4 linked regions of the Astyanax mexicanus genome follow. The protein of the gene in region 1 interacts with the protein of each later gene in a biochemical or structural test. Links are inferred from orthologs where the notes say so. Each region holds a gene or a part of one and is shown on either strand. Other genes may lie near its edges.

The links.
Region 2: the proteins of esr1 (region 1) and crebbpa form a complex in vitro, tested with the Homo sapiens proteins (2 studies listed by BioGRID). The link is inferred for Astyanax mexicanus from reciprocal best matches to the Homo sapiens genes ESR1 and CREBBP.
Region 3: the proteins of esr1 (region 1) and smarce1 form a complex in vitro, tested with the Homo sapiens proteins (3 studies listed by BioGRID). The link is inferred for Astyanax mexicanus from reciprocal best matches to the Homo sapiens genes ESR1 and SMARCE1.
Region 4: of the proteins of esr1 (region 1) and mapk1, one has a biochemical effect on the other in vitro, tested with the Homo sapiens proteins (3 studies listed by BioGRID, with this or other methods). The link is inferred for Astyanax mexicanus from reciprocal best matches to the Homo sapiens genes ESR1 and MAPK1.

What each region holds. Positions count from the first base shown.
Region 1 is NC_064408.1:79,147,625-79,155,782, forward strand, and holds the start of esr1 (estrogen receptor), read left to right. Parts: upstream 1-4,934; 5' UTR 4,935-4,993; coding exon 4,994-5,397; intron 5,398-8,158.
Region 2 is NW_026040046.1:1,676,362-1,683,956, forward strand, and holds the start of crebbpa (CREB-binding protein), read left to right. Parts: upstream 1-4,362; 5' UTR 4,363-5,220; coding exon 5,221-5,311; intron 5,312-7,595. UniProt on the Homo sapiens protein: Acetylates histones, giving a specific tag for transcriptional activation. Mediates acetylation of histone H3 at 'Lys-18' and 'Lys-27' (H3K18ac and H3K27ac, respectively).
Region 3 is NC_064426.1:13,043,680-13,051,642, forward strand, and holds the start of smarce1 (SWI/SNF-related matrix-associated actin-dependent regulator of chromatin subfamily E member 1), read left to right. Parts: upstream 1-4,903; 5' UTR 4,904-5,015; intron 5,016-6,307; 5' UTR 6,308-6,351; coding exon 6,352-6,358; intron 6,359-6,974; coding exon 6,975-7,018; intron 7,019-7,460; coding exon 7,461-7,565; intron 7,566-7,963. UniProt on the Homo sapiens protein: Involved in transcriptional activation and repression of select genes by chromatin remodeling (alteration of DNA-nucleosome topology).
Region 4 is NC_064429.1:30,990,918-30,999,019, reverse strand, and holds the start of mapk1 (mitogen-activated protein kinase 1), read right to left. Parts: upstream 3,073-8,102; 5' UTR 2,823-3,072; coding exon 2,671-2,822; intron 1-2,670. UniProt on the Homo sapiens protein: Serine/threonine kinase which acts as an essential component of the MAP kinase signal transduction pathway. MAPK1/ERK2 and MAPK3/ERK1 are the 2 MAPKs which play an important role in the MAPK/ERK cascade.

The sequences.
Region 1 (8,158 bases):
ACAGTACTCTGTTTTGTAGGGGAATCAACCCAAGCACTTTACCAGTGTATGAATAGTTTTGGTTCAGATTAATACAGGTAAATTTAGTAAAAACAGTAATGGAGTGCAGCACTGTCAGTGCAAAAACATATTCTGCTGGCTCCAAAACAGCAAGAGATTCAATGGAAGTCAATGTTAAAACAGTTTATTTCAGGTTATTGGAGAATTTCTATTGGTCCATTCATCAATACGTTTTGACACAGTGTAAGAGACCATTTGTGTGTTCAAATTATGTAGTAAACTAAAATTAGACAAAAATGGAGATGCTTGTTTTTCATTGGACAGCAATAAATACTCTGCAGGCTGCAGTCACATAACCTTAATATATTCAGAATTTTGCTTAGGTTGGATTTGGCAATCTTAAAGGCCTTGATGCTTCACATTTGTGAATATTAGTTCCACAGACTACAGATCTGTCTGCAGAGTAAATCTGTTTCTGAAACAACACAAATGCACATATAAGCTTAGGCACCTCGCCTCTGTTGTTTTGCCACCCTGGTGTGGTGTTATTCTGGAAAACGTTATAGTTACTCATTAACAGAAATGACAGAAATCACAAGCATGATCTGTTGTGCCCGTACTGCTGCATGACACGTGCTTGCAAAGAGTTTGAAAAACAAGAGATGACATCCACAAAACCCTGACAAAAAAAAAAAATCTGTGGATTTGAGTCACATGAGCCTGGTTATGCGATTGTAGGCTATATGAAAAGTGATTATGTGACTCAAATCCATAGGCTTTTGAACAGTAGTGTGTACACTAGTTAGGGCTTTCAAAGATTTAAATAAACTTTTATTTTGTGTTGAGTGCTGCTACAGTGTGGATAATCATTCATATGGATATGGATTAAAGCCTTAAGGATTGTTGGCTGCAGGGTTTTTCTGAATTATCAGGCATTTTGAAACAGAGAAATGTTTACTTAAGTTGTCACAGTGATCACGTAGTTACCATTGTAATATTGTAATGCAAAATTGGCTGAAACTGAAACTTAATAAATAAACTGAAATTCTCCATTGGGTTTTTTTTTCCGTACATTGTTTTTTTTTTTTTTTTCAGAGGGCTTTGGAAAATGTGCCTAAAAGGAATCTTGTGCTTTTGTCAGAGTTCTTTGTTTGTTAAAGTGTTTTGCTTTTGCTGACAGTTCATTAGTCAAACACTTAAATAAAAAAAATATGTTCTGCTCAGGCTTTGCTGTTATGAACACTTGAGACTTGATCCTAATACATAATAGGATCTTTAGTGAAAGGGAAAAAAATTAGCCAGCAAATGCAATATTTGTGCCAAGATTGGAACTCAAAGTAAATATGTGGTCTTGTACAAATATTTGAAAGTGTGAGTAAATGTCAAGTTGTCACTAAACACTTGTGAACAGGCTTTGGCATTTCTATGAGTGCTGAGCATTTCAGAGCAGTATTCTGTATAATTTTAATATTGTATATTGTTAGTGCTTCAGCTCATTACTAATTCTACTGAGTTACATTCAGAGGAGAGAATAAATTGAATAGTAACTAAATATCTCATACTAAAAGACTAGTTTGTAAGAGAAATAAATACAAACATATAAAATAGCTGAACCACGTTCTAAACACATAAAGTGTGTAGGCTGGTAAATGGTTGGTAAATGTTTTTCTGTTCATTTTTTTAACGACTGATATTTGGAACATATTGTGGTTCATATTGAGGCGCAAGACAAAGGGGATTTCCTCACCTCACTGTGACCTGGGTTATTGTGTAGTGAATACTAGTGTGAATAATTATAGTAACTTAACACTTAGTCAGAACAGTCAGCACCTGACCACATTAGTTTATTAGAAAGGAAATGCCACTGATGAGCAGTTTGACTGATGTAAATCATGAAAAAAATCATACTATTATAATCATTTTAAAATTATGCAAAACCAGGTTCTACAAAGTATAGAAAAACATTGTATTTCTTTCCTAAATAAACCTTAATGTTTAGTTGAGTGAACCATATTCTAAAAACGTGCCTTTGCTGTAAACAGATCTATAGTACAGTTCATTTTATGAACATTGAATTCAAGGTTCTCGTTTGTCCTCACTGAGTGAATGATTGAATGTTTATCTAGAATGTTTTTATCAGTAAATCAGGGTCATCTGTTTGAAATCTGGTCAAAGTAAATTGATAATGGGTTCCAGTTCATTATAATTAGCAAGTACTTCATGTACACAAATATTACTGCAGACATTAGTTTAATTCTGTATTAATGAGAAACTTTATTAAGCTATTTTGCTATTTTTTTATGTACTTTAAAGTAATTGCTTATTATGATATGCTTCACAATACAGGGGTTACAATTCTGTATGGCACAGTATATTGCAATACTTTAAGAGCGTTTTTACACTTTTTCTAACAAAAAAAATAAAATAAAATTAGTACCACATCTGGTACCAATTTTGGGCCGGTTTGGGAGAGGAGCTCATTGCCACTGGTTTGTTTTTACTGACCGTGGACCTTGATTGCACAATTCCATACATACCTTTGCTATTAAAAACGTTGGATATTGGAAACAACTACAGTGTTTTTGGGATGCGTGGATTTTTACTGTAAAGGTGATACTCCAAACAAGCTGCCTTTATTCATGATTTTTGTCCATCAACAAGAGTTTTATGCTGTCAGTATCCTCACTGACTCCACAAAGCTGAGATTATTACAGTAATAAAGTACCACCAGTCCTCACATTGTGCTTTATTAGCCTCAAAAGCAGCTTTCACATTTGTCCTGCAGGGAAAGCACATCCAGTTCTGGAAAAAGGCCAGTGTAAAAAGTGTCATAGTTTAAAATATAAACCATATATAAGCAATCAGAACAACACTAAATGATCCACGGATGATCTGACACCAGTCTTTAGTCTTAGTGATCATTATATACTGTGTGTGTTGTGCCTACATCCTTTTTTGTTACTAGTTTAAAAGTGCTAACTTACTTCACAGCTCTTGTAAAATAACAGGACTTGAGGGTCCCCAAGTCTACTAGTATCCCCATGTCAATCGACCTGGAAGGAGCTGTGTGTTTTACATTGACCTGACCTTTCATTTACACAGTGTACCGCTAAAACCGTTTTCATAACTGATTTTACACGATACTGTGTGGCTGTTTTTCCTATATCTACTAAAGTGCACAGTTACTCATCCTTTCCAGTCAAGCCTTTCCTAGTACGCCCTGTACCCCTGCTGCCTATCTCAGAACTCCTACTCACTTTCCACTTCATTCTTCTGTCTCTATTAGTAACCGCTTATATTAAATTGAGATATTGCCTCATAAATATCATACCAGAGCAATAAGACTCTTTTAGCTGCTTTTCTCTTTCTCATTATTGCCTGATGAGTAAAAACTCTAGATTTTGACCTTTTAAAGCTTTTTATATTGTTTGTTTCAGAATGTAATTAAATTTCCGATGGCAGAAAAGCACATTACCATGTTTTTCTTTCTTTCGCTGCATCCGTCACCTGTACGGCTGTTTGGCAGCTGAATGAAGTGCTGACCTCCTGTCTCTTGTTTACCTGGTTGCGATGACCTGCTCTGCTATCGACCGAGTCGTGTCTTTTAATTTGCCTCCTTTTTTAGAAAGAGAGAGATGCAGACTGAAAGAACGTTTCTAAGGGGAAAGATGTGCGTCTGTGACAAGATAATCACACTGCTGCACACTCTTAACATAAGCAGAATATTCAGTAAATTACTTATAATCACTTCATAAGTTTAATACAATATCTTCAAACGAGTATTACACTGTAAACATAGTTTGTTCTTTTATCCCTTATGTCCTTATATCCCTTATATCCCAAGCTCTTAAATGTAATTAAAAAACGTAAAACAATCAACCAATGTTTTACTCAGCGTTTATTTAATCATTCATAGTAGTTACTGAATAGTATTGTTTGCTAAATCTGTAGTAGATGCTGTATAAGTAATGAATATTGCTGAATATTATAATAATCAGCCTCTACCATCATTAATGCTGCAAGATCTTGGTGAAAAATTAATGCAACACTGGATTGAAATAAATCTTGTGACATTGCAGAAGATTATTGAAACAATACCACAGTGAATGCATGCTGCAATCTAAGCTAACAGCGCTCCAACAAAATATTAGAGTGTGTGATTTTTTTTGTGTGTCCAGGCAGTGTTTATTCCTTGCTTTATTGCTTCATAATTTCACATGCGTGCATTTGTCCACCCTGTTTTGGCAAGCTGCATGAGAGAGTGGAATATTTTAGTGAAAACATAGTGAAAATTTTATAAAAACCTGGATGACATAGAGTTGCAGACATTTTGAACTGTTTAAAAGATACATTTTGATTTTCTAAAATTATATATATATATATAAAAAATGAGCATGATATTTTATACAGACAGGGTGAACATATTAAGCTTTACCACAAATACATTTAGAGACAATATAAGACACATTGAGCGGAAAATAGTATGCTAAATACTAAAATAAATGTGTTTTATTCATGATTTAACCATGTAAATGCACTGCAGATAAAGAAAACTGCATATAATATATTAAAAGTACTTTAAATTGAAGGTAAATATTATTATGCTTTTGTAATAATCTGTAATGAGTAAATAAGTAAAACAAATTATTGTTACATAGTGTTTGCATGATATTTAAACATATATGTTGTGAATACAAATGGCACATTATGTTGATATTGACAAAATTACATTTATAATTTCTTACAAACCTATTTCAGTATTATTTCAGTAATATGCTTATTACTTGCATATTAAACTAGGTATGAGAGACTGTGCTTGAATAAGTAGTGACTAAGAGTAAAAGAGGGAGGGGCTAGTGGAAGAGGAAGGGTAGGGGAAAGAGAAAGAGAAAAATCCCTTTCTCTTAGTCAGAGTGTGAGAGCAGCTGGTGCTGTAAGTCATGCTGCCTGTGAGTGTGTGTGTGTGTGTGTGTGTGTGTGTGTTTGTGTGGTGATGTCTAGTGAGCAGGCGCATGCTGAGGCTGCTGGTGGCAGCAGGCAGCGGCGCAGGAGCAACTCGAGACGAGGCAGTGAGCTGGAGCTGGAGCTGACCCCCAAAGTTTCCCCCATGTACCCAGAGGAGGGGGGCATCTCCTCCACTGTCCACTTCCTGGATGGAGCTTATGAGTACCACAACCCAGCCTCCGGCGTCGGATCATCCCCTGTGGGCTTTTACCCACCGCCTCCGGACCCCCAGCTGCCCCTGGCCGAAGAAACTCTTCAGTCTCTGGCCAGTGGGTCGGCCAGTCCACTGGTGTTTGTGTCCTCCAGCCCCCAGCCACCCACCTATCTGACTCACGCTGGGGGTCAGCAACAGGTGCCCTACTACCTGGAGCCTTCGGCCAGCTCTGTCTACAGGTCAGAATGACTTTAAACTATCTTTAAATGTATCATTCTGTTTCATCTCTGCAGGTCACACAGTATAAAAATGAGTGCTCATTGTTTTTAGTCATTTTGTTAAATGACAATGAATCTATATAAAGCACAACATGGCTTTTCCAGCTCTGCTGTCTTGTGTATGTTTGGTGAATTTACAATGTTTGATTCTTTGTCCTCAAGCACACCTTATTTATCTCTTGTGGTTAGTTACCACATTCAGTAGATGAGATTGAGCAGGAAAAGCAGCAACTGTGCTGGACAGCATTGATGTACAGCTACTATAAGGGCCCTTAAAAGGCTATTAGAATAAGAATTACATTAAGGATGCTAATACTATTCCTACTGATAACAAACTAAGTTCAAAATTTGTTTCAATATCCACACATAGAGCGATACAAAGTTGGTTAATATTTCTTTATGATTTGAAATAAGTGAAATGTTAGATGTGCAGTTCTGTTCTGAGGAAACATCAACAATAAAAAAAAACATTCTCTATATTTTGCCCATGTTTGTGTCATCAATAAAACACAGAAAATGAAAGTAAAGAAAGAACCTGCAAATTATAGTTATACATTCTCAATAAATTCACATTTAAGTAGGATTAGTAGTTGCTGTAACTATTAGTAGTTAAATGTATTTTAAAACAGAACAAGTGATTTGTATTTATAATAAGCAGGAAATAAAACCCACTGTGTGCATCTTCACATTCTTTGTCAGTACTACAAAGAACAGAACAAGTGACTTGTTACTCTTTTCCTGTAAATTGTGTTAATGTGTGTGGCTATGTGTGTGTGTGTGTGTATGTGTGTTAAAGACCTGAGATGAAAGATAAAGCTTCCTTACGCTTCAATTACGGCTCACTGAAGCACTGACTATCTGAGAGTCTGAATGAGCCATGTTTAGTCTGCACTCAGAAAAACAGATGTTACCTATTAAACCTACAGCATATTTACAAGAATTATTCATAGTGCATTAATTGTGGGAGGCATTCCTATTGATGCCATTATCCCTTTTTTACTAGCACTTTATTTATGTATATTCTAAATACCCCTTTTAAACAAAAAGGTTTCAGTTCTGTGTAGCACCTTAAAACGTGTTCTTAAGAGAGACTTTTTAGTTTTTTGGTGCTAAAAGTATTTTTAAAGTTCCCAGTAGAACAGCTTTTATCTTCATTAACTTTACAGAACAGCTTTTCAATGGAAAGAAACACTTCTTATAAGTATCCCAGTAGTGTATGGTCTGTACGAGCTCAGAGCTAATTTTGTTTTTAAACCTTGAGAAAAGAACTATTTGTGCAAATAACAGGAGTGCACAGAGATTATCACGTCCTCTTTGAAGGAAAAAATAAAACGACGGAGATGTTCCTTGATAAGTAGGGTTAATGGTGAATTCTGAGAAATTTAGCATATATATTTCCTTGTAATTTTTTTTTACTAGAATCCAGACACTTATTCTAATTATGTGAATGATCTACTTTAAGGTGCACACAATGCTGATACTGGTGTGCATATCGTCGCTGTCCAATAAAAAACTAGTAGCTCCATTTTTGTCGATTTTTAGTTTACTGCATAATTTGAACAGACAAATTGTCCCTTACACTGTGCCAAAATTTATTGATGAACAGACCAACAGAAATACATAAAATGTTGCAGTTTTGGAGATACTTGTTTTTCATTGAACAGCGATGATATACAGCTTGTATATAAGATTAACAGAAAAGCAATACTTGTGGGATTGGGCCCATCAGAGCAGACACACATTAATATTAAATATTAGTCATTCAACATCAGTGCTTGATCCTCAAATTCTCACAGGACTGTCACAGCCAACTATAATACTCTTGATTTCCAGAAAAATTGGATGGAAAGGGACAATTGGATTTGGACATGCAACATCTCATACAGAGTTAAAGTGTAAACATATGTTATTACAGTATTTTCTTATCAGAAAGAAAATAAACAGGATCTAGTGTACATCAAACAATGAGCCATAAAACCCAGTGAGCTGATTATGTGAGTGTTTTTCAGTGATGGTGGTCCAATCTGTCTCAGATGTTACGCAGTAGTTTGATGAACAACAGAATTAAGCTTAAAACAAACATTTACTTACACTAGAACAAGAGGTCAGAGGTGAACAGCGCCCATCTTGTGTGACCCTACTCGATGTCACGTACACAATACAGATGTGCTCAGAGTGTAGTTTAGTTGAATTACATTATCCTTTAAAAGTAAAAAAAAACAAAAAAAAAACAATTTGGCTGGTTACACATGTATGAAATAATATGTATATATGCAAAATGGACATGTATCACAAAATGAATAAGAACCTATCAAGAAAATAAAAAATGTGTCCAGAATGATGAGCTGAGCTGTACATGAACTGCATGAAAAATCTGTAGAATATCAAGAATTGAATTAACATTCAGTAAAATTACAATTAAATTACCCAAAATTGTTAACAGAATGCATTTTTTAAACTATGGTTTTGAAGCTGGAGTGTCAAACCCATTTACATAAAGGGCCATCATCTCTTCTGGAGTAGTAAGAGAGAGACAAAAAGGGGAAGAAAGAGAAAAAGTCACTAGGCATAAAAAAAACTTTCTAGAGGATTCTGAAAATCACTGCGTGTAAGCGCTGATTGTTTTCGGGGAGGGGGTTCAGAGCGCATATTGTGTTGCAGTGCATGCTGGGAATTGTAGTTAAGCATTGTAGTGAAAAGGGACAGTATTAAAGGGTAACTA
Region 2 (7,595 bases), on another chromosome or scaffold:
TTTAATAGAATCAATAGAAAAATTAAAATAAGATAATTTAGACATCATGTACATCACGATTTAAAGTATCAAATGCCCGTTTTAGATCCAAGAATAATGCTCTAATTACACCGCCTTCATCTAGTTTTGATTTAACCTTTTTAAGAAAATAGCAGATAGCTGTTTCTGTTAAATGGTTAGAACAGAAAACAAACTGCATTAAATGCAGAGGATTCAAATGAGATATCAACTGCTCCACCACCCACTTCTCAGCCACCTTGGAAACCACAGGTAAAATACTAACAGGTCAATAATTCTCCACAATTGCTCGATCACCTGCCTTGCAGATGGTGTTATGACAGCCAACTTCTGAAAAATGTCTTGCTTAATTGATTGGTTAATTAATTTAGTGATGGGACTAGCTAAGATGTCCTTGTGTCATTTTAAAAATGTAGTGTCCAAGCCATAAGGATCCTTTGCTTTAGAATTTCTGATGGAGTTTATAATGTTTAATACTGCAGATTCTGATGTTTGTGTTATTCTAAAGATTGGTCTAGCATCATTAATAGGTGTAGATAGTATAATCTTAGGACAGAAGTTCTGGATTAGCTGATCAATTGAGTTTATAAAAACGTTGTTAAAATATTTGCAATCATATCATAATCCTGAATTAAGATTCCATTTATTTAAAGTTCATGTTCCTTTGTTTTCTGATCATTACTCCTTCCAGTTCATTTATTAAGATTTTTCCAGATCATCTTTTATTTCCCCCGTGCATCTTCAATTATTTTAATAAAAAACTCAGCTTTAGCCTTCCGTATATTCCAGCGGTGTAAAGATACATTTGTCCACAGCGGAGGGCAGCCTCCACTCACGGCACGCACAATCCGCCTCACCGCCATCAATCCCACATTTTTGCAATAATTTATTTCCTGATTTATTTATGTGTGTTTTTCCTTGTCCTTATATGATAATGAAGGGGCGTTTTTTTCACATGCAGGCTTAGCAATCAAGCCCAGAGAGAGAGGAGCTGATATGAGTAGAAGAGTCCGGGAGCTGAAATCTAGGGTATCTGACATCAATCAACCAATAGGAATGCTAAGACACCGTGACATCATTACTGGACAGCCCCTTCATTATCATATAAGAACAAGGAAAAAAGAAATGGATGAATCAGAAAATAAAAAAATACAAAAATAAATAAACTGGGAAATAAATTATTGCAGAAATAAATATTTATGTGAATAAATTAACAAATGAATTTAAAGAAAAAATAAACAATGTTAATAAAGAAACCTATAAATAACAATTTATTAGGATATTTATTTTTATGTATATGTTTTTATTTTTATATTAATTATAATCATTCTTTACCGTTTTAATCATCATACTACTTTTATTGAGTAATTTACATTCGCTTTTATTTATTTATTTATCCTCCATAACTGAGATGATCATTCCAGACGGTTGTACTTGTTCCTCTGCATGAAGCTTTAGTAGATTTGGAGCAGAGTTTAGGGTCGTTGTCTTGTTAAAGTATCCAGCCCCAGCGCAACTTCAACTTTCTCACTGATTAAACACAGTTCTCAGGAATCTGCTGATATTGACTGAAATCCATGAGACTCTAAACTTTAACAAGATTCTCAGTAGCTGCACTGATCACACAGCCCCACAGCACGATGAACCACCACCACGTTTTACTGTACTTTTTTCTCCATGCATAAATAACCGTCCTCCAAATAACTAAATTTTAGTTTCAGAAACTTATTCCTTAATGAAGCTGACTTAAACATGTCCCAACTAAGCTTCTTTAATTTATTTACATTGTACTTTAAGCAATTTTGAAACCAGTACTTTTACATTTTTATTTGCGTTAAAACGTTGAGTTTTGACTTCAAATCAACAGTATTTTTAAACCCTAGAATCTATACTCCTGAGTAATGAATAAATACTTTTGACACATTCAGACAGTAATGACATGTTACACCAAAAATTAATTAAGTTCTTATTTTAAATGCTATCATTGTAAATATTTTATTTCCAAAATAAAGTAGCTATAATATTATAATAGCCAGTTTGTATTACATAGCTACCTCACTGTTTTCCAGCTCCTGGAATGTTTACACTTATGTAACATTTATTCAGTTCTAATTCTCTTAATAAGTATAGTAATAGTATAATCTAAAAAACTTTTAATTAAAATACAGTTTTACAGAGACAGCATCCAAATCTGGCAGCCCCCAATCAGGGCCTTCCTGAACAAGTTCACTTTCACCACACAATCAGGAGGCTGTGGTTCCCGCTGGGCCTGAAAAATAACATATCCTGAGGAAAATGAGTTTTAAACCAACCAAGACCTGGTCCAGGGTGCTGAGGAGAGAGAAGGTAGTGGACAAGTTCCTGTCACACTTGGTTGGTGCTGTAATTCCTCCGATCACAGAAAAACCAAATAGGAGCCTTGAAATGATCTACAACTGTAGTCTTAGGGACACATCAGCCGTCCAAGCCACATTTAAAGATCTTAACATGTGACTCTCCACAGTTGACATATCTTGGATTGGATTTATCAGCATTGCATTTTGCCTTGCATAATCTGGCCACTTCTGGTATACAAGGTACAAACTAGCTGTGGAGGAAGTTTGAGCAGCGATATTCTACCTTTGGCGGCATGACCAGGTCCTGAAGACCATCTCCAATACCATGGTCACCAAGTATGTCTGCCACCAGAAAGGCATCACTTTTCAGGACAGGAAGCTGCTAATACCACTGATACAAGAGCTACTGCAAACATGAAGATATCAGAACAACAAATTCAGTCTTTATCTTAACCTACTTTAGTGTCTATTTCATTCCTATATAGTTTATAGTTGTTATATAATTTGTAGTTTTTTTTTTCTGTAACACTGTTTTGCAGAGTAATGCAATTTCAATTGTCTGTATGTCCTGTACATATACAGTATTGATAATAAAACTACTTGACTCATTCACCCATCATTAAATCAAATAAACGTAGAATTATAACTAAAGAGATCTGGCCAGCTAAAAGAGAACACATCACAGTCCTCACTAAAATCACTGAATTGATCCACTCTGAATAGAGACTGCACCACAATACTCATTTTAAAAGTATTTTTAGTATGCTCAGTGCAATTACACATTCTCATTTAAAACTTACAGACTGTCACGTTAAGTACTCTAAGCACTCTAAACAGTTTAACTGCATTTTCTATGGAGCTTATAAGATAAGTTTTTTAAAATCTGCATTCAATTCACCTGACTTTTAATTAACTTTTTGTTTGCTTTTTTAATCTGTGAGGTGATAAATTTCACTGTTAAAAAAAAAGTCAATTATGACTTTCTCCTATCTATTCTCTGTACTCTCAGACAATGCGCTATCATGGTTCAAATCAAAATTGCTCAATCCTGCAGCTTTGCGCTTTATAACATCAGATAGGTTTGACTACAACAGGCCACCCAACAGTGCTTTTCTGGTCTTCTTTCTGGTACACCTCGACTACTGCAATGCTAACTGGCCTCCCGGACTGTGTAGTAAAACCACTTCAGATGCTTCAGAATGCAGCAGCACGTCGGGTCTTCAACCAGATAAAACAGGCACACGTCAGCCCACTACACAATGAGCTCCACTGGATCCCAGTTGCTGCTCGTAGTAAATTCCACTAGTCTCTTTCTTCTATGTCCTCTGTTGCTAATGTACATAATTATTTGTAAGTTGCTTTGGATAAAAGTATCCACTATATGTAATGTAATGTAATTTTATCAATTCCAATCTATCAAATTCCAGGTCTCTCCTTTCAAGTGAAAAGGATTCTAAAGTGATTCATATCTACAAATCTACAATTTTTCAGATTTAAAAAGCTCTTATCCATAAAATTCAGATCCATCAATTTTACATTTAAAAAATTCTAATCTGTAGATTTTCAGATTTAAAAAGTTCAGAGCCATACATTTTCTGGTGTAAACAAATCGTATCTGTAAATTTAAGAGAAAAATGGTCTGTTTTTTTATCTGAAAAAGTTATTGTTATTTGAAATGTATGTTTATTCTTTCACCACCTCTCCTAATTTAATTTATAACACAGATATGCACTATTAATATATTAATGTATAAATTACTAAATTAATATTTAATGCTTATAAAAGTAGGGTAAATGTAATTTAAAAGTTAAGAGCACAGATTTTAACACTAACAGCAGCTGTAAAGTTGTGAGAGTGAGCGCCTCGGTCTCTCCGTATCCGCGGTCCTGCATCGCCCCCAGCGGCCGCCGCGCGCGCTGTACTGCGCCGCTGTGACGCACGCTCCGTCGTTACGTAGGGCGTGATCGCCCCTCCCCCCGCCGCGCGCTGGAAAAAAAGAAAAAAAAACTTTTTGTATCTGAGGAATCAACAGCCGCCATCTTGTCGCGGCTCGGGCTGGGGATTTCGATACGGCGCTATTTAGTGTTTTGGAGCGGAGCGCGGCCAGGCGGCCTTACTGCAGCCTGCGAGGCCCCGGACGCGGATTTCGGCAAGAAATCGGGGAATCGAGCGGCGGCCGTCGGACTAGAAGCGTCGCGCTGCTGCGCTGTGTGGGATTTCCCCTCAGCCCGGAGCTCGGTATTGTTTACGGGGAGCCGTCGGTCGGTCGGTGGTTCGGAGCTCGGAGCTCGGACGGCGTCGCGGGGGATCCGCTCGCGCTGCATTTTTATGCGGCTGCGGGTCTGAGGCGAACCCGGCCGCCGGTTTGCCTCTTTGTTAGTTTTTGCAGGGATTTTTTGGACGTTAAATTATAGAGAAGCTGGTCTGTTTGGTGTGATGCACATTTAACGTCGTCCGGTGGGAGGGAGAGAGAGAGAGAGAGGGACGGACACACACACATTTATACACTCTCACACACACCAACACACACATGCGAAAATCCTGCGGATTCGCTTCGTCTTGTGTTTAATTCGGTTTCTATGAGTAAACGGGGTTTCTGGGCTCTGTCCGGGGCGCTTTATCGGCGATAATGTGGGTGTTGGGTGGTGGATTATCATGGGGTGAATGGCGGTGGCGACGCGCGGCGCTGTTGTTGCTTTTTTGAAAAGCCCTTCCTCGCTGCTAGCCAGCTAACCCAGCTAGCCTATAGCAACCCCCCCCCTCCTCCTCGTCCGACTTCTTCTCTAAACACACAGAAAGTAACTTTCCCTCCCTCTCTCAGACCGAGCTTATTCTTTACCCCTTATTCTAATCGTTTGGGAGGAAAATGGCTGAAAATATGCTGGATGTCGGACCGCCCAACCCAAAGAGAGCCAAGCTGACAGCACCTGCTCTGCCTTCAGCCTCGGACGGAGCAGGTAACACCTACCCTACTCTAATCTACTCTACTCTACTGCTGTATTCTTTCTATTTAATTATACACACACAAACCCCTCAGCTTCCTATTGAACCAATAAACACTCCAGAGAGACCTGCTGCAGGTCTCAGAGACGCTCAAGTTTAGTAGCTTAGTAAGCAGTTAGCTGAAGAATACACAAACTCAGTGCTAATCTAACTAGCTACCATAGCAGCGTGCTAACGACACCTGGCTAACAACTACGATAGATAGATAGATAGACAGATAGACAGACAGACAGATAGATAGGGAAACTAGATATGAACAGAGTGGGAGATATAAAGATGGATAGACAAATAAATAAGTAGAGAGAAACAGAGAGCGAGACAGATAAATACAGTGGGGAAACAGATACAGACGGACAGATATTGGGAGACACACATGGATACAGATATAGTGGGAGACAGACATTAGGATAGATACAAATGGAGGATGAGAGAGACAGAGGTAGAGAAACAGATACATTTCAGTGGAAAACATAGGCAGACTGGGAGACAGGCAGATTGATTGAGAGACAGACTGATAGATGGAGAGAGACAGGCAGATAGAGACTGACAGAGTGGTAGACAGTTAGATAGTAAGACAGCGAAAGAGAGAGATAGATAGATAGATAGATAGATAGATAGATAGGGAAACTAGAGATGAACAGAGTGGGAGATATAAAGATGGATAGACGGACATAGAGAGAAACAGGCAGAGTGCGAGACAGATAAATACAGTGGGAAACAGACGGACAGATATTGGGAGACACAAATGGATATAGATATAGTGGGAGAAAGACATCTAGAGATACAGAGACACTAGGATAGATACAAATGGAGGGTGAGAGAGACAGAGGTAGAGAGATAGATACATTCAGTGGAAAACATAGGCAGACAGTGAGACAGTCAGATTGATGGAGACACAGATTGATATATGGAGAGAGACAGGGAGATAGAGACTGACAGAGTGGAAGACAGTTAGATAGTGAGACAGCGAAAGATAGACAAATAATAGAGAATAATAGAGAGAGATGGACAGATATATGGGCAGATAAATATAGGCAATAGGTAAATAAATAGGTAGACATGAATAGAGAAGGAGAGACAGATAGTTAAATACATTGGGAGACAGATAGATGACAAATAGAGAGTCAGATAGGGGAACAGACAGAGAAAGAGACAGACAGATGGGTAGGTAGAGACAGGCAGAGAGAAGGACAGGCGAATAGATGGTTAGAAAAATAGTGTGGGAGAAAGAGACGGATAGATACAGATGGATAAAGATAGAGAGACAAATAGACAATATAGCTGGGAGAGACAGACATACGGGTAGAGAGACCGATGGATAGGTAGGGAGAGAGAATGGGAAAGAGACATTTTGATACAGATGGATAGAGTGGGGGACAAATGGATTAATAGAAAGAGATAGAGGTAGATAAAGAGGGACATGCAAATAGATATCTAGACAGATAGAGAGGAAGAGAGAGACAGATGGGGGACAGACAGAGAGACGGATAGATAGAAACAGGCAGAGAGAAAAAATGGCAAACAGAGGGAGTGGGAGAGACAGACAGGTAGAGAGACCAATGGATAAATACACTGGAAGTCAGAAGAGAATGGGTGAGGCAGATACACTGGGAGATGGATGGATAATTAGGGACAGAAATATAGAGGCATATGGAGAGACAGGCAGGTAGAGTTTATGTGAGAGAGACAGATGGATAAATACACTGGAAGACAGAGGAAGAGATATATGGTTGGAGAGGGTCAGACGGACATGGGTAGAGTAAGTGGGTGAGAGAGAGACAGAGAGACAGACATAGTGGGAAAGACAGATAGAAAGGGGCAGACAGTATGGGAGAGAGACAGACAGGTAGATAGACACAGAGATAATACACTGGTAGACATAGCTAATGCAGACATATAGAGTGGGAGAAAGATAGATGGAAAAATAGAGGTAGAGAGACATACAGATAAAGAGAGACAGATAGGAAGAAAGTGAGAGACAGTTAATCACAATCTAATGTCTTGCTTACAGTATCGCAATGTAGGAATAGGTTGAATAATTTACCCTGTATGGTGGAATGTATCATATCCCCAAATTCCTGCCAATGCACAGCCCTAGTGTAGTCCACTGTAAACAGTGTAGTGGGTAACATGTCTGTGTTTTGTGTTCATTCAATGAGGTCCATGTGTACCGTAGCCTGTGAGTGAATAAATGTTGTGCAGTGTGTAAAGACTTTTAATAAGATATGGATGAAATTC
Region 3 (7,963 bases), on another chromosome or scaffold:
GATGATGTAAAGTGTCACACAGGTGGTTTTACTGTCCGATAACCAGCGAGGAATATCGTGTTTATTCCCGTGAAGAACTGCTGGCCCTTCGACCCGCGGGACGTGGGGGCATTGTCCACTCAATACCGGGGGAACTAAGGAGGAATTACCGAGGCTGTAGGGCCGGAGCTAAGCTAAAGGCTAAGCTAAAGGCTAAGAGTACGGAGAAGCGCTGGAGGTACAAACCCTCAGTTCCGTCGGTGGTTATGGGGAATGTCAACTCACTGACCAACAAAACCGACGAGCTAGCGTGTCTGGTGAAGAATCAGAAGCTCTACAGGGAGTGTAGCGTGCTGTGTTTCACCGAGACCTGGCTCACCCCCAACACGCCGGATGCTAACGTGGAGCTACATGTAAACGTGAAGGAGGTGATCTGCTGTCGGGATATTGAACTGTTAGCGGTGAGTCTCCGACCTTATTACATGCCGCGGGAGCTCTCTCATGCGATCCTCGTCTGTGTTTACATTCAGCCGAGAGCGGACGTACAGGCGGCGTGTGACGTCATCCACTCCACCGTCGCAGCGCTGCAGACACAGCACCCTGACGCCTTCTATAAGGCGTATTTTGAACATGGTCTGACATTGCAAGCCTTGTGCAGTCAGCAAAAACTGTTCTACAATTCAACGGAAAATTTTGCAGAGCCATGATTGCACTGACCTAAAGGCAGGGTAAACACTATGGATATAAAATGGCGGGGGTTACATTATGTGAAATAGGGGGTACATCATAGACACATGATTACAACGTTTCAGTTATGTGGACCTTGCGTGCAGAGTGTGTATGAGTATGTATGGGGCTATGTCACGGTACGTAGACACTGCGTTGTAACCCACGTAAGCGTCTTATGAATATGGAATACAATACGTTGCATGACATCATGTGTTGTCAGGCTGCCTTATTACAATGCAAATGTATGCATAGGCGCGTTTACCGATTGGATGTTAGATGCCAAAACGTGTATACACGAACAGTTTTACCGCCTGTACACGTGATTTTTTTACGTGTGGACACGTCATATTTTTACGCGTGGAGGCGTTTCTTTCCCACACGTTTTGGCTTAGTTGGCTTGCCATATCTATGTGATTACTGGTGATTTTAATCACGTAACGCTGGACTCTACACTGCCTGCCTTTTTCCAGTTTGTGGACTGTCCCACCAGGAAGAACAGAACCATAGACTTGCTGTATGCTAATGTGAGGGATGCATACAGGGCTATTCCACTACCACCGCTGGGGAGATCAGATCACAACCTGGTCTTCCTACAGCCTCAGTACAAACCACTGGTACTGAGGCAGCCCACTACCACACGCTCATTCAGAGTCTGGTCTCCTGAAGCAGAGGAAGCCCTAAGGGACTGCTATGACACCACTGACTGGAGCGTGCTGCTGCACCCACATGGCGAGGACATTGAGGGGCTGACTCACTGTGTTACAGACTACTTGAATTACTGTATGGATGTTGCTGTTCCCACAAAGACTGTACGCTGCTTTCCAAACAACAAACCTTGGATTACCAGCACCGTCAAGGACCTCCTCAACCAAAAGAAGAGGGCGTTCAAAGATGGAAACCTGGTAGAGCTGAAGCGCGTACAGGGGGAACTCAAGGTACGTCTTAAAGAGGCCAAGGAGTCTTACAGGAAAAAGGTGGAAAGAAAGCTGCAAGATAACAACACAAAGGAAGTCTGGGGTGCGATGAAAACCATCACTGGGTGCAAGAACAACAGCGGCAACCCAGCAGATGGGGGTGTGGACAGAGCAAACCAGTTTAACAACTTTTACAACAGGTTTGACTGTCCTGCTCCTGCTGCCCCCTCCTTCTACCCCCCTGCATCTTTACCATCATCTCCATCTCCACCGCCACCACCATCATCATCTCCATCTCCACCATCTTCATCATCATCATCACCACCATTACCCTCTCCTCCATCTTCACCACCACCACCACCAACCTCATCACCTCCATCATCATCTTCATCACCCTCACCTCCACCATCTTCATCACCACCATCACCCTCACCCCAACCATCTTCTTCATCATCATCATCACCACCAGCACCCTCACCCCCACCATCTTCTTCATCATCATCGTCACCACCATCAACACTATCAGCTAGCAGACAAATCAGCTCCTCCAGTCCACCAACCTTTACTGCAGACCAAGTCAGGAGACAGCTGAGGAGACTTCACCCCAGGAAGGCAGCTGGCCCGGACAGAGTGTGCCCCAGAATGCTCAAGGCTTGTGCTGTTCAACTGGGTGAGCCCCTCCAACATGTGTTTAACCTGAGTCTGCGTCTAGGGAGAGTTCCTGCCACGTGGAAGACAACCTGCCTCGTTCCAGTTCCTAAGAAGGCACACCCGAAGGAGCTGAATGACTACAGGCCAGTTGCTTTGAACCATCTACAGCTGAACATCTCCAAAACCAAGGAGATGTGCATAGACTTCAGAAGGTCCAGGCCCTCTGCTCAGCAGCCAATCTCCATCGAGGGGGTCAATGTGGAAGTGGTCAAGTCCTACAGATACCTTGGTGTGCACCTGGACGATAGGCTGGACTGGTCAGTGAACACTGACTCCCTCTACAGGAAGGCCCAGAGCAGACTGTACTTCCTCAGAAGGCTTGGGTCCTTTAACATCTGCCAGAAACTCCTGCTGATGTTCTACCAGTCTGTGGTAGCCAGCGTCCTCTTTTACGCTGTAGTGTGCTGGGGAGGCAGCATCAGCAAGAGGGACGCTGGACGACTGAACAGGCTGGTGAGGAAAGCTGGTTCTGTGTTGGGACTAGAGCTGGAGTCCTTAACACCACTGGCAGAGAGGAGAGCCCTCAGCAAGCTGCTGAACATCATGGACAATGTTCACCACCCTCTGCACAGCACCATCACCAGGCAGAGGAGCTCATTCAGCGGCAGACTGCTGTCCCAGTCCTGCTCCACAGACAGACTTCGAAAGTCTTTTGTCCCTCAGGCCATAAGACTTTTCAACTCATCTCAGCACAGCAAACTGAAGACTCTGTGACACCTTTTCTTTCCAGCAATTCTGTCCACACCATGGACATACCCCCATCTATGGTCACACTATCTTGCTGATGCCCATAACACTATTTTTATAGTTCTACCCTATTTTGCACTAGTAGTTCATTCACTAGTTCATTCATCTACTGTTTACGTATCATTTGCACTGCTAAATTTAAATTATTATATAACTGTGTTTGCACTTTCTGTATGGCGGACATCAGTTATCCTTATCCTTACTTTATGCACATCAACTGGTGTTCGCTGTCTATTGTGTTCAACTGCACTACCTCCATTTTACATCACACACACACACTAAAGACTGTATTTTTTTTATCTTTTTGTAACTTTGTGTACTATACACACCTGCTGCTGGATGTCTATCTATCTATCTATCTATCTATCTATCTATCTATCTATCTATCTATCTATCTATCTATCTATCTTTCTTTCTTTCTTTCTTTCTTTCTTTCTTTCTTTCTTGCTTGGATATGTTTTTCCAGTCCAGCTGCTCTCTCTTCCTCTCCCGTTCTCTCACTCTTCTCCCAAAAAAGCTCCTAGCCCCGCCCACTACTTAGACTTTTGACTGACAAGCAGATAAACTAATCACCTTGCAGCAACTAAAAAGATATCTCAACAGAAATTACTGAATTAAAATGTGAGCACAAATAAACTATTGTAAAAATGAATGAACTTGATGATTTAAATGAAGTTTTAATATAATTTCCTTGAAATCTCTTTTTAAATAACTGAAAAATTAAACAAGGCTACATAATAGACCAGTGCAGCCATGTTGTCAGTTTGTAGTTAGGTCCCCTTTCTACACTGCTTTTTTCTTTGGGCAAAATAAATGTGGTTTTCAAAAGCTCGCCTCTATCACATTCTGTGGTAAATAAATATGTTCAGAACCCTGTACGTTTCATTCTGTGTACATCACTGGATCCTCTGAATTATGAAATCGATTAAGTAATAAGAAAAATGCTAACTTTAAGCTCATGCTACAGCGCACTGAATTGATGGCACAGGCAGAGATATGACACCAGCAAACTCCGGATAGGTCATGTTTTTTATTATTATCCTCACAGGGAATCATTGATTAGTTTGATTTGATTAGTGCTCATACCAATATGATAGCACATAGAACATTCATCTGTTTCTCTAATCAAGCATCCTAATACCACAGCAGCTACACTGGAAAAGCATGGCACAGTGTTTAAAGAATGTTTCTGGAGTAACACTGTGCTGCTTGTTTTAGTGATTTTCTGCTGTAATCCTACCAGCTCACCTCAGAGAGGGTAGTTAGTTCATTAATTGGATCAGCTGTAATATGCTGTAAAAATAGGACTGGAGTTTGCTGGCGTTGCACTAAACTGAGAAAGCACTCTGCTGCTGTGCTGTGACGTCGGTTCAGTGCGCTGTAGCATTAGCTTTAAGCTAGCATTTTTCTAATAATGACTTATAAACGATCTCGTAATTGAGAGGATCCAGTGTTTTTCTGGAGAATTATGTACTCAGAATAAAACATACAAGGTTCTAAACATATTTATTTACCAAGGAATGTGATAGAGGCAAGTTTTTGAAAACCGTACGAGGACTACAGAATGACACATAACTGCAGTGGCCTATATTTTATGTTAAATGCTGAAGGGGAAACGCCCCCTACAGATATAATGCCCATGGTGTAATTACACAGAGCATGTTTAAAGAAAAAATATTGTATTTTATTATGTAATGTAATATTATATTATGTCCAGGTCATTATTTCTTCGTGTGTTTGTTGGAGTCTAGAAAACACAAGCCTACAGAGCGGTATAGACAAAGATACATTATCGGTACTGTGCTGCCCCCTGCAGTTCAGTGTATGTGGGACACTGTGGGGGTACTGTGGCTGCGCTGCCGCAGTGTTTAGGCCGGCCTGCGGGGGCAACACTGAGACCGTGCAGAGTCAGGCGGAGGGAACAAAGGAGCGCGGGTGAGTGTTTAAAGCGCCCAATATTTCTAAAATTAATCTTTAAAACTGGCAATTAAAGTTCGGATCGCCCTTCATATTGTGTGTTATGAGCCTTAGATCACGAGCCCGGCTGTTCGGGTCGGTAATGTTGGGTTATCTGTCGCCGGTTTCTGACTGTTAGGGTTTGGCTGCGATAGCGGAGCTTCATCGCATTCAACCGATTATTAACCTCACCGCGCTGCTGTTTTACTCCAGCTTTTTAGCTTTTACCAGAATGTATCCAGACAGTTTACGCAGTTTAGGAAAATAAGTGTAGAGACCGCTTTGTAAGTGTGATTTATGATCATGAGGGGTAATGTAGGTTAACGAGTTATATTTGTTGTAATTCTGACTATGAAAGGGTTGCCGTAGCTGCTAAAGGCTGGGCTCACAGATGGATATCCTCAGTCCGGGCTAAAGATAAAATTAGTATTTTAATTTTAGAGATTAATTAACTCCAATCACCCGACGTGTTTTCTATTATATAGAGTTACTTTATTATTAGTGAAAATCAGCCCACATTAGCTCTCACTGCCGAAGCTAAATTTAGCTAGCCTAAGGTAGATTAGTTTATTTGAATTGTTCGTTCCACCTTAAATGGTTACAGCAGGTTAGGGCAGCTCTCAAGCCCCGCTGTAACTGCTGCACAATTTAAGGTGGCACAAACAATTCAGACAAGCCAACTTCAGCTGCAGGCTAACACGCGCTAACGTGGACTATAACATTTCTTTTAACACTTTAATGTTTACTCACGTAGCCTTAATTACTTATCTCCGGTTTTTAATCTAATTTTAGCTACTGTATTACAATCCTAAACATGCTTAACCTCGCTAGCTAGCTTGCGTGTTTTTTTAGCAACGTTTATTTCTTTTATTCCGGTTTAGCTTAGCACAGGGTGCTAATCTGCTAATGCTAGGTAACTTGCTAACTGGCCCGAATGCTCGCACTTCTAGCTACAGATCGCATCGAGTTATTGTTTTGGGAGAGTTATTATTGCATCTCTGTTGTTACAAAATACACTTTAAACGTTACAATAGTTAAATATAACGTTTATGCCATTAGATTCGTTTGGTCAGTTAAAATAGTATGGTAGCTATATTCTAATAATGTTTATGTTGTTTAGTAGTCCAGGAGCTTGTATTGTTATAGTAAATCGTATAATCTCTATTCACATGAAATTGTTCAGGCAGATATAGTCATTTAGGGATGTTTTAATGTGCCATATGGGACTGAAAGCGTGCCTCTATGTCTAATCCATCTTTACCCTATTGTAGAACCGTGATGGAGTTAGCCTGATATCCTCAATCCTGCAAACAAGATGTCAAGTAAGAGCTCTAATTTTATCTGAAGGTCATCTGTAACCCTTGTCTGAGACCACCTGTATAATGCTTTGCTGTTATGAATGTTGTCTTAAGGCCCTGTATGTGAACCTCTGAACCGTGCAGCCTTTCTATGCCATTTGCAGGAACGGCTTGTTTAAAGGGGAACTTAGCCAGCCATTTAGAATTGTGTAATTCATTGTGTTTGATGAATTCATTTGTAGTGGGGTCTTGGTGTAAAATTGTGGCTTATTCTAAGCAAATTTACTCACTGATTCACCATAACTACAATACAAATGTAGCCATTTTATTTTCTATCCAAGCCCACCAATGAATGTGTATGTTTTTCTCAGAACAGTGTTCCATGCAAGTTTCTTTAGATTGGAGCATTTTACACCAAGCCGACTCCGAACGTCTTTGTTCACGTCATACCTGTTTAACTACACAGATAATTTAGGAAATTGATGGGATAACCCTGTGAGTGATGTGTAGAAGTGATGTGAGTAAGATTCAACTGAAGCGGATGCGAGGTATAAGTAGGTTTTAGTACTGCTTCGATAAATGGCAAACGTCTCATTGTAATGGAATAATGTCTGCCCTCTGTGTGATTTTTCTCTTACAGAGCGGCCCTCGTACGCCCCTCCCCCCGCCCCGGCCCCCACCACAGTAAGTGTTCCACCACACCATCCATAAATGACCACATCACCCACACCAAACCTTAAGACCCCTGGAAGTGTGGAAAGGACTGCGGGATGATGATGATGATGATGATGATGATGATTCTTCCATGGGGTGGCTCAGTAGTACATGTTCCAGATGTTACAGAATATCCAGCTTATGCTGAGTTTTTTTATTTTTTATTTTTTATTTTAAAACCATCTCATTGAATTTAAAGCCCCCCCTTCCCCCATAGTGTGTGTGGCTTGGCTTTGAGTGGGTGTAAAACAATGCCAGGTTGTGCTGCTGTCAGATTGCTGCTTTTTGCATGTCTTATGCAAATCATGACCAAAAAAAGCAAAAACAAATCTTCCTTTTTTCTTTTTTTTGTCCCTTCCTCCCTTGTTTGTGTCATTTCTCATTCGTGTTTTGTCTCATTTGTCTCCATCAGCAAATGCCCACCACCCCTGGGTTTGTGGGGTACAACCCATACAGCCATCTGGCCTACAACAACTACAGGCTGGGAGGGAACCCCGGCGGGAACAACAGGGTAATGGTAGGACAAAAGGAAAAAGCAAAACTGCGTAGCTGCAGCAGAGGAGCTAGAACCCCAGAGCAGAACTGCCCGAGCTGACAACCTGGGCTGTAACCCAAAAGTCGTGCTATTTTACTCTAGTCTGTTTTACTACTTTTAGTTTGGAACATGGGCTTCTTATATTAGGGGGCGGAGCAAGGAGAGACTTGATATCATGGGTAGCTGATGTAGATCTTAGATGCTTCTGTACTGTCCTCTTCCTCACTCCTTTTGTAAACCACTTGGCCCACTCTGTCCACTCTGATTTTAAGTTACAGGTTTCCAGTGTTAGGACATCACCCTCCTCATTAGTTTGCATGAGTGCTATGCCCTTCAGCTTGCTTGGCTTCTAAACATAAATGGCTATTTAGAGATTTGTT
Region 4 (8,102 bases), on another chromosome or scaffold:
TGTTGTTTGGATGCAGGCTGATATCAGTCACACCACTCAGTAACTCAGGAGCTGGTGCTACATGCTTTCAGCCTGGGTTAGGTCAAGTTGACCAAGTATACCTGACCCATTTCATTATTCGAAGTTATGCCACCCTGCCATGTCCCAGTTTCAATCAGAGCCTGTTCAAGCCATTCAACAGCACTATAAAGGAGTGTATTAAAATACAAGTACAACAGTTTAATATTAAATGTTGCAAATTTGTTCATATTTGTTAAAAAGTGGAAACAACAGAATACACAGCTAGTCTTATAGGCATTATTTCAATTTACGTGCACATGTACTATATGTATACATTACATTACTGACTTATCGTGCAATAAATGGACATTACCCACTGTGTCTATTGTCTATTGTGTTTGTATTTGTATGTTTGTTTGTTTGTCATGTAGTTACCAACACTTTAATAACTGGATGAATGAAAAAGTACATATTTCACCATAATTATGATTAATTAAAATTTGTGTTTTTTATAAAAAGGATATAATTCCTTTGTTATTCTGTTATATGCTATTATCATTGTGTCAGTGGCATTTATTATGCAATAATTTAATTTCGCAATAATTTATGTGATGATATATTGTCCACAAAATTACTTGGCAGGCCTATATTGTATAGGCTAAGGACATGTAATGAGTTATATGATCTAAAATTGTAAAACCTAGAGGTACAGAAGAGTGAATCGGTAAGGTAAATTGCTAATTTGTTTAGTATATAAGACAATGTTTCTTGAAAATAAGTGTTTTTGTTATTGCACAGTCCCTTCATTTTATTACATATAAAGATGAATATTTGGCTGTTAAGCCTATTTTGGCTATTTTCTTAGTGCTTTTTAATTTGTTGAATCATGGAAACAATATGCAGTTAGACAAAACTGCAATCATGCTAAAGAAGTGGTTGCTTCTCAAATGTTTTAACTGACAATTAAACATCAAAATCCTTAAAAAAAAATCAACTGAAATATGACAAATCATATGCTATATATATATATATATATATATATATATATATATATATATATATATATATATCATATATAAAAAAATAAAATAAAATAAATATAAAAAAAATTCACTCCCTATCCTACATCCAGGGTTTGTAATGCAACCACTCAGAACAATATATATATATATATAGGATAGGGAGTGAATTATCAAGAGAAACTGTTTTAGTTTTTGTCCTTATTTTATCTTTTTTTTATTTTCTTTCACACTCTACCAACTTGTAAGGACAATGCTGCTGGTACTAATAATAATCCAGTTGCACTAGTAGCTAGTGCTAGTTAGCAGTGCTTAAACAAATCTTTAAGGAGAAATCTTGTGTGAAATAAATTTGATTTGTAGTGATCCTTGATAATAAATAGAAACTTTTGTTAAATATTCCACCTCCATTCACCACCATCATTCTGAAATAAAGCACTTTTAGCCGATGCTCCCAACAGGCTTACAATGCTAGTGATAGGGGCACAGAGTTGCCTATGCAAGAATGCAAAATCAACATGCATGTGGAAATGCATGAATATCTCTATAATATTGAAAAAATAGCACAGAATTAATTTTGCAATCTGTCACCCTATCCTACCGATTCATGCTCATCAGTCGACTTATCACTTCTTGATTTCAAGATGCCAGCACCCAGAGAAGTACCTGAAGGTACTATGTGTATAATAAAAAGTCTTTTTAATAAACTAAATGTGCATTTTTAAAGCCTCATTTTTTGACTATTTTTAACTGTTAGGACGCTTGAAATTCTCCCAATGAAATGTAGAGCTACTTTGAGCTTTGTAATGTTGGTAATTATGATTTTAATTTGTTTGCATGGCCTACTATATGCCCCCTCACTGTACAGCAGTGTAAGCCAGTAAGCCTGTTAGTTGGGAGCATCAGCTAAAAGTGAGAAAGAGGGCTATTCAACAAAAGTTTGTACTTTTCATGTTTTCAAGTTTCACTACAAACCAAGTCCATTTCACACAAGATTTCTCCTTTAAACACTGCACTGATTAAATAAATGTAGGGCAGGTTTTTGGTCATTATAACATTTAGCAGTTTAATTTTCTGACCGTTTGAGGCTAAATTCAAAATTAGAAAATTGAATGTAAAAACATATTTTTTTATGTAGTTCAGTGCTCAAGAAATAAGTTTTATCCATTTTTCAAGTTTTAGTTTTTTCATCACTTTCCCTTACAATCGGAATTACAGGAAATTTTTCTGATTTTTAGATTTTTGCATTTTGCAAGTGGATTATAACATCGGATATGTGATACAAGACACAAAAATAGACAAATCTGAAAATCAAAAGTAGAAAACTTTTCATTTTTCTTGAAATTCTGTTCGCGAAAGGCAGATATGAAAAACTTAATAACTGAATGAATTACCATTTCATCTTCACTATAGTAAATGGAAAAAGTATAAAGTTTTATACCCTATTTTTTGAATTTGCGATTTAAGCTTGATACAGTCAGAAAAATAAACTGCTAAATGTTACACTGATGGATTTTGCTTATTAAACTATATTTAATCAATTTAAAATGAAAGAAAAAGTAGCTATGTAACTGTGTATGTAAGTTATTTGTTTGTGTGTTCGAGGGCTAAATATAATATAAAAATGAGTATTAAGGTGAAAAAAACTTACCAGACCATGCCATAAGCGCCCTCCCCAATATAGGAGAGGTTGGTGTATCGTGGCCCCACGTCGAAGGCCTGCCCGCGGACAAGCTCGGCCCCAGAGCCGGGGTTAGTGCCGCCTCCGCCGGCAGGACCAGACACCGCAGCCGCCGTCGCCATTGTTGAACCGAGCTGCCTTCACTCACACCCGCACTCACACATACACTCCCCGCAGCACAGCCACGACTCTCCAAACAGCAGAAACGACGAGTTTCGGTGTCTCACAACACCCAGCACGAGCCGTCCGCACTAGAAAAAGCTCTTCTGGTGCGATAAAAGTGAGTAAAAACAACAAAAAGTTGCAGCGAAAATCACTCCACTTCAGTGACGCTCCGCTACGCCCGCTGTGCGATTCGAGACTGCAGGCAGGCGGCGGCGGAGCCAGCGCGAGCAAACAGCGAGCGAGGCCCGGATCGTGCGCGAATCGGTTCATTCGAATCGTTTCTTGTGAACACATTGTGCGAACCGATACGCAACAAGGTGTGAAAATTCACATTCGTTACTCAGATAAAATTATAGATACTAGTGTTTAAAAAACTTCTGTAGAATTTTAAGTTGAAATCAGCTCAAGCTTTTTACTCAAAAGTAAATGTACTGGTTTCAAAACTACTTAATGTATAAAAGTAAAAGTAATAAAAAAAGTAAAGGGAAAAATAAGGCTATTAAGGATAAAATCTTAGGCCAAACCACAGGATCCTATAGTGCACCACCCCCTCCCAAAACACATTTTTTCTTAAAGCCATAATGACTATAATGTTATATTAATGTTATATTAATGTTGATACATTTGGGATAGAAAAATCTACGCAACAATCCAAGTTATAGTCTATTTTTTCCCAGTTAGTGTGTGAAATAGTGTGTAAAATTTCCATTGATTGTAAAAGTCCATTGATTCATTAAAGCAGCTGTCCCTTGTGAAATTTGGGACAAAATATTCAAATTAGTTGGTATCATTCTAAAAACAGAATCAAGTGGTCTGGTTGGTTTGTTTTTAGGCTGTAATTGCTTGCAGTCTGACAGTATTTTATAAATGAACAAAAATATTTAATTTAAAAAAAGGGTTACACAACATTTACAGTAACCTGAATTTAAAGGACTTTTCCACACATTCTCTCATCAGAGAGGTCTCTAAATCCCCAAATCTTACAGATGGTCCCTTTAAATGTATTATTATTATTATTATTATTATTATTATTATTATTATTATTATTATTATTATTATTGTTGTTGTTGTTGTTTCATTATCTGTTTTATTATATCTTAAAAGCAATGATTAATACATAATTTAATAATATAAATTATTGCTTTGTAATAGACACGCTTTAGATACATTTATCAGACTAGATAGATAGATAGATAGATAGATAGATAGATAGATAGATAGATAGATAGATAGATAGATAGATATATAGATAGACTAACCTTTAAACAATCGATTCTGAATCGATTCTGTCTCTGTGAGAGTCAAATCTCTAGTTCACTAGTAAGTGAAAGCAGTGAACAGAGAAAGTGAGCTAATGCTGTGTGAAAATCTCTTCTATCTCTACACGAAATTAAAAGCTCATATGATTTGTGACTGAATGACTTGTTGATTGGCACTTTCGATTCGATAAAATGAACCCTTTAATAGAACCGATTCGATTAACTGAATCGAACACTACGAGCTGCTTCCCGCATGAAATAACGGCGGAGACCACGTGACCACACAGGAGCGTCAGCCTACAAATGATCAGAAAACTTGTCAGAAAATTTTCATTTTCCAAATAAAAAACTAGAATTGAATATTCAGAATATAAGCTATAGCTATACAGGAACACATGCAGAATTATTCTATAAACAAAAAAAGGAAATCATGTTTCCCGAATTGTACATGAGAAAGTAGATAATTGCCACCTATGGGTTTACATTTCATACAAACTCTTAATTCCTAATTTCCTTTTTATGAAATTCCTACAGGAATAAATAAAGTATCGATCTATACTCTGTGTAACAATATATTTTTCAACATTTAGTCTGAATGTACATATTCTTACAATAAAGAGCAATGTTAACCTGCACTTTAAAAAAACTTTCTTGTAAATGTTATACAGTTATTTTTGTTTGTTTTTTTAAGTTAAACCTGAAAAAAAAATCATTTTTTATTTTTTAAATTTACTCATTTTAGAAAATTATGTGCTACTTTAACTTTAAAACGCAGGGTAGAAGTGCAAATGCGTGCAAGATGCAAAATTTTGTTATTTTTTACTACAATTTTAAAATTGTCTTGCAAACATATCTTAACAATAAAGTTACACAAATGTTGCACTATATTTTTAATCATATCCACCAAAACATGTTTGGTGGATATGTGTTTCACTTCATGCCTTTAGTAAAAAAAAAACATGTTTCTCCAGATTTACACGTTTATCTAAGGCATCGTGGCGGGACTCACTACACACTGAGGGTGAGTCGAATAAGAAAAGAATATGGATAACAGTGCACATTCCTGGTACATGTTTGACAGTGTGGATTGAGGAATGTTCAATGCTCTTATCTTTATACTATGGAAGTGAAATGCCCCATCCATCTGCACCTATTATCGGATCTGCCTTGAACTACAATAATTATCATTGCCTTGCCATGAGCATGTTAGCCCCTGTTTATTCAACCTCACTCACAAGATATCACCTCACAACTTATAAGGGTTTGGGCTTTTGTTTCCAAACCATGCCCTGAGATAACACTTCAATTTATACACTTGGATGTACATGTCACATATAATTAATACTGCTATCCCATGATTTTTGGCATGTATTTAACATTAATCTCCTCAATCTTTTACTACAATATTTGTATTAAGTCTGCATTCAAATTACACACACTTCAAGTCATGCAGCTTGCCATCAGCTGCCAGAGCCCTGAGAGAGCACAATTGGTCTTGCTCTCTTTGGGTGGGAACAGTAGATGGCACTCTTTCCCCTCATCACTACTAGGGTGATGTGGATCAGCACAAGGCGTCTGTGAGCTGATGTATCAGAACCACGTCACTGCGCTTTCCTCTAAACGCGCTGTGATGCTACTCGGTAATGCTGCATCATCAGCTGTTTAAAAAGAGGCGGAGTCTGACTTCACATGGATCGAAGGAGGCATCCCCCTCCTGGTGTTTTGGGGCATCACTAGTGATGGGGGAGTCCTTATGAGTGGGTAGGGTTATTGGCTATATATAAATTATATTAATAAAAAATACACATATTGTAAAAATACTTATGAATTTAACTGTACGGTCAAACCTGAAACAGAAAGCGAAGGTAGAAACATGAGGGTAAGTGGATTTGAATTAATCCCTTTAACCATCAGTCCGCCCAAAAGAGCTCTGATCCAGGTAGAGCAGCTGCTCTTACGTAACCAAGAGTCTGGATTAAACCTAGGAAAAAGATTTCATTTGTTACAATAAATAATCCTAATACCCAAAAACAGAACAAAGGAGTTAATGTGGTTATAGTTTATTATTATCACAATCACTGAACAGACTTCAACTCTCTCAACTCAACAGCAAAGCTGATAAAGCTGTTATGAACTTATATGAACAATATAATATAATACAATACTTTTCATTGACATTTAAGAAAATGAGTCCACATAAAATACTGCAATCAGTCCAGATCACTTTAGTTATTAACATTAAATTATGTGATACATTTGATGGCTATTCAATACTACAGTATTATGAGTTATGAGTGCATACAATACAAAAACACATCCAGTTGGACAGAGTCAATCCTGGCAGTGAAAAGTGAAAAGTTACCAACACTTATATAAGTACAGTACTACACACAAACACAGACACAGGGTTATAGAACATAGATAAAATTGTCAAGCTTAGTATGTATTAAATTATTATTACATATATATATATATATATATATATATATTAAATGCTGCATGTAATGTTTCAGGAAATACATCTGAACAAGCTGAACGGAAACTAAATAAGGCACCAATATAAAGGCCTCAGGTTGGGAGACATCATACATATTGTTGCTGTCCAATGAACAAAAAACAATCAGTCTTGTAAGGTACAGTCAAACTGTGCCTTACACTGTGCCAAAATGTCTTGATCACTGGACCAATAGAAATACTTAAAATGACCTGAAATAAACTCTTTTTACATTGACTTCCATTGAAAGTTTGGAAGGTTTTTTCTCTCTTCTGAAAATTTGCTGTTTTGGAGATACTGCTTGTTTTTTTTTATTGGACAGCGACGATATACTGTACCAGACAAAGGTTTGGACACACCTTCATATTTCAAAGTTTTTGTTTTAATTTTTTTTTACTATATTATAAATGAATACTGAAGTGATCCAAACTATGAAAGAACACATATAGAATCTTGTAGTAACTTAAAACTGTTAAACAAACCAAAATACTCTGTGTAGCATTTAGGTGCTCTTATCTGGGGAGCTGTTAACTTGCAGTATAACGTTTTTTTTTTGTTTCAGATTGACTGACCTTCTTTTCTAAAAGTATTTTTTTCTTTACTTAAGTAGTTGAGTAGTTCTTGCTTCTAATAATCTGGATTAGAATGTTACTCAAATAGAGTTATTCACTGTATACCTGTAACTCTACCTCTTCACTACTTTACAACTGATGCTCTCAAACACTTTATTAAGAGACAAGAAATTCAAGTAATTAACTCTTGATGAGTTCAGCACAGCTGTTAACTGAAAGCCTGAATTCCAGGTGACTCTACCTCATAAAATTGATTAAGAAAATCCAGTCAAGATGTGCAAAGCTGTCATCTAGGCAAGAGGTGCTACTTTGAAGAATCTAAAATATAAAACATATCCAGGTTTGGTAAACAATTTTTTGTGTGATTATTTTTTAAATAAATGATGAAAAAACACTAAATTTAAGTTGTGTCCAAACTCTTGACTGGTACTGTGTCTGTGTACAGTTTTCAATTCATTTTTGTGTGTTTCAATTAATATAAAAAAACATCCATATTTCAGCATAATTCACTTTTCATTTTGGCACAAATCTAACTTTAGGCCAGTTGTGAAAGTAAGGTATATTCTTACAAGCTCTTATACTCTAAAGGTCAGCCTCTCTGACCCTGATTAAGCTTAATCCTAGACTAATTGGGCTATTCCATGCTACAGCCGCAGTCCTTAAGATTTTCTTTTTAACCCTTTCAGACCCTGCATCCATTACAAACGACATCATTTATTTTCTTTATTTTAAAATGGTTTGTTGCACACAGCACTAATTGAGAGCTGTTGTCCATAGAACAGACTTGACCATGAACCAGCTCAGGACCAGGTTTATACACAAATGAAACAGTAGCTTGACCTCACCCACTTCAAAAACACTGGAAAAACAGTAGTAATAGATCCACTGAGGCTAATAAACAGCAAATTTTTA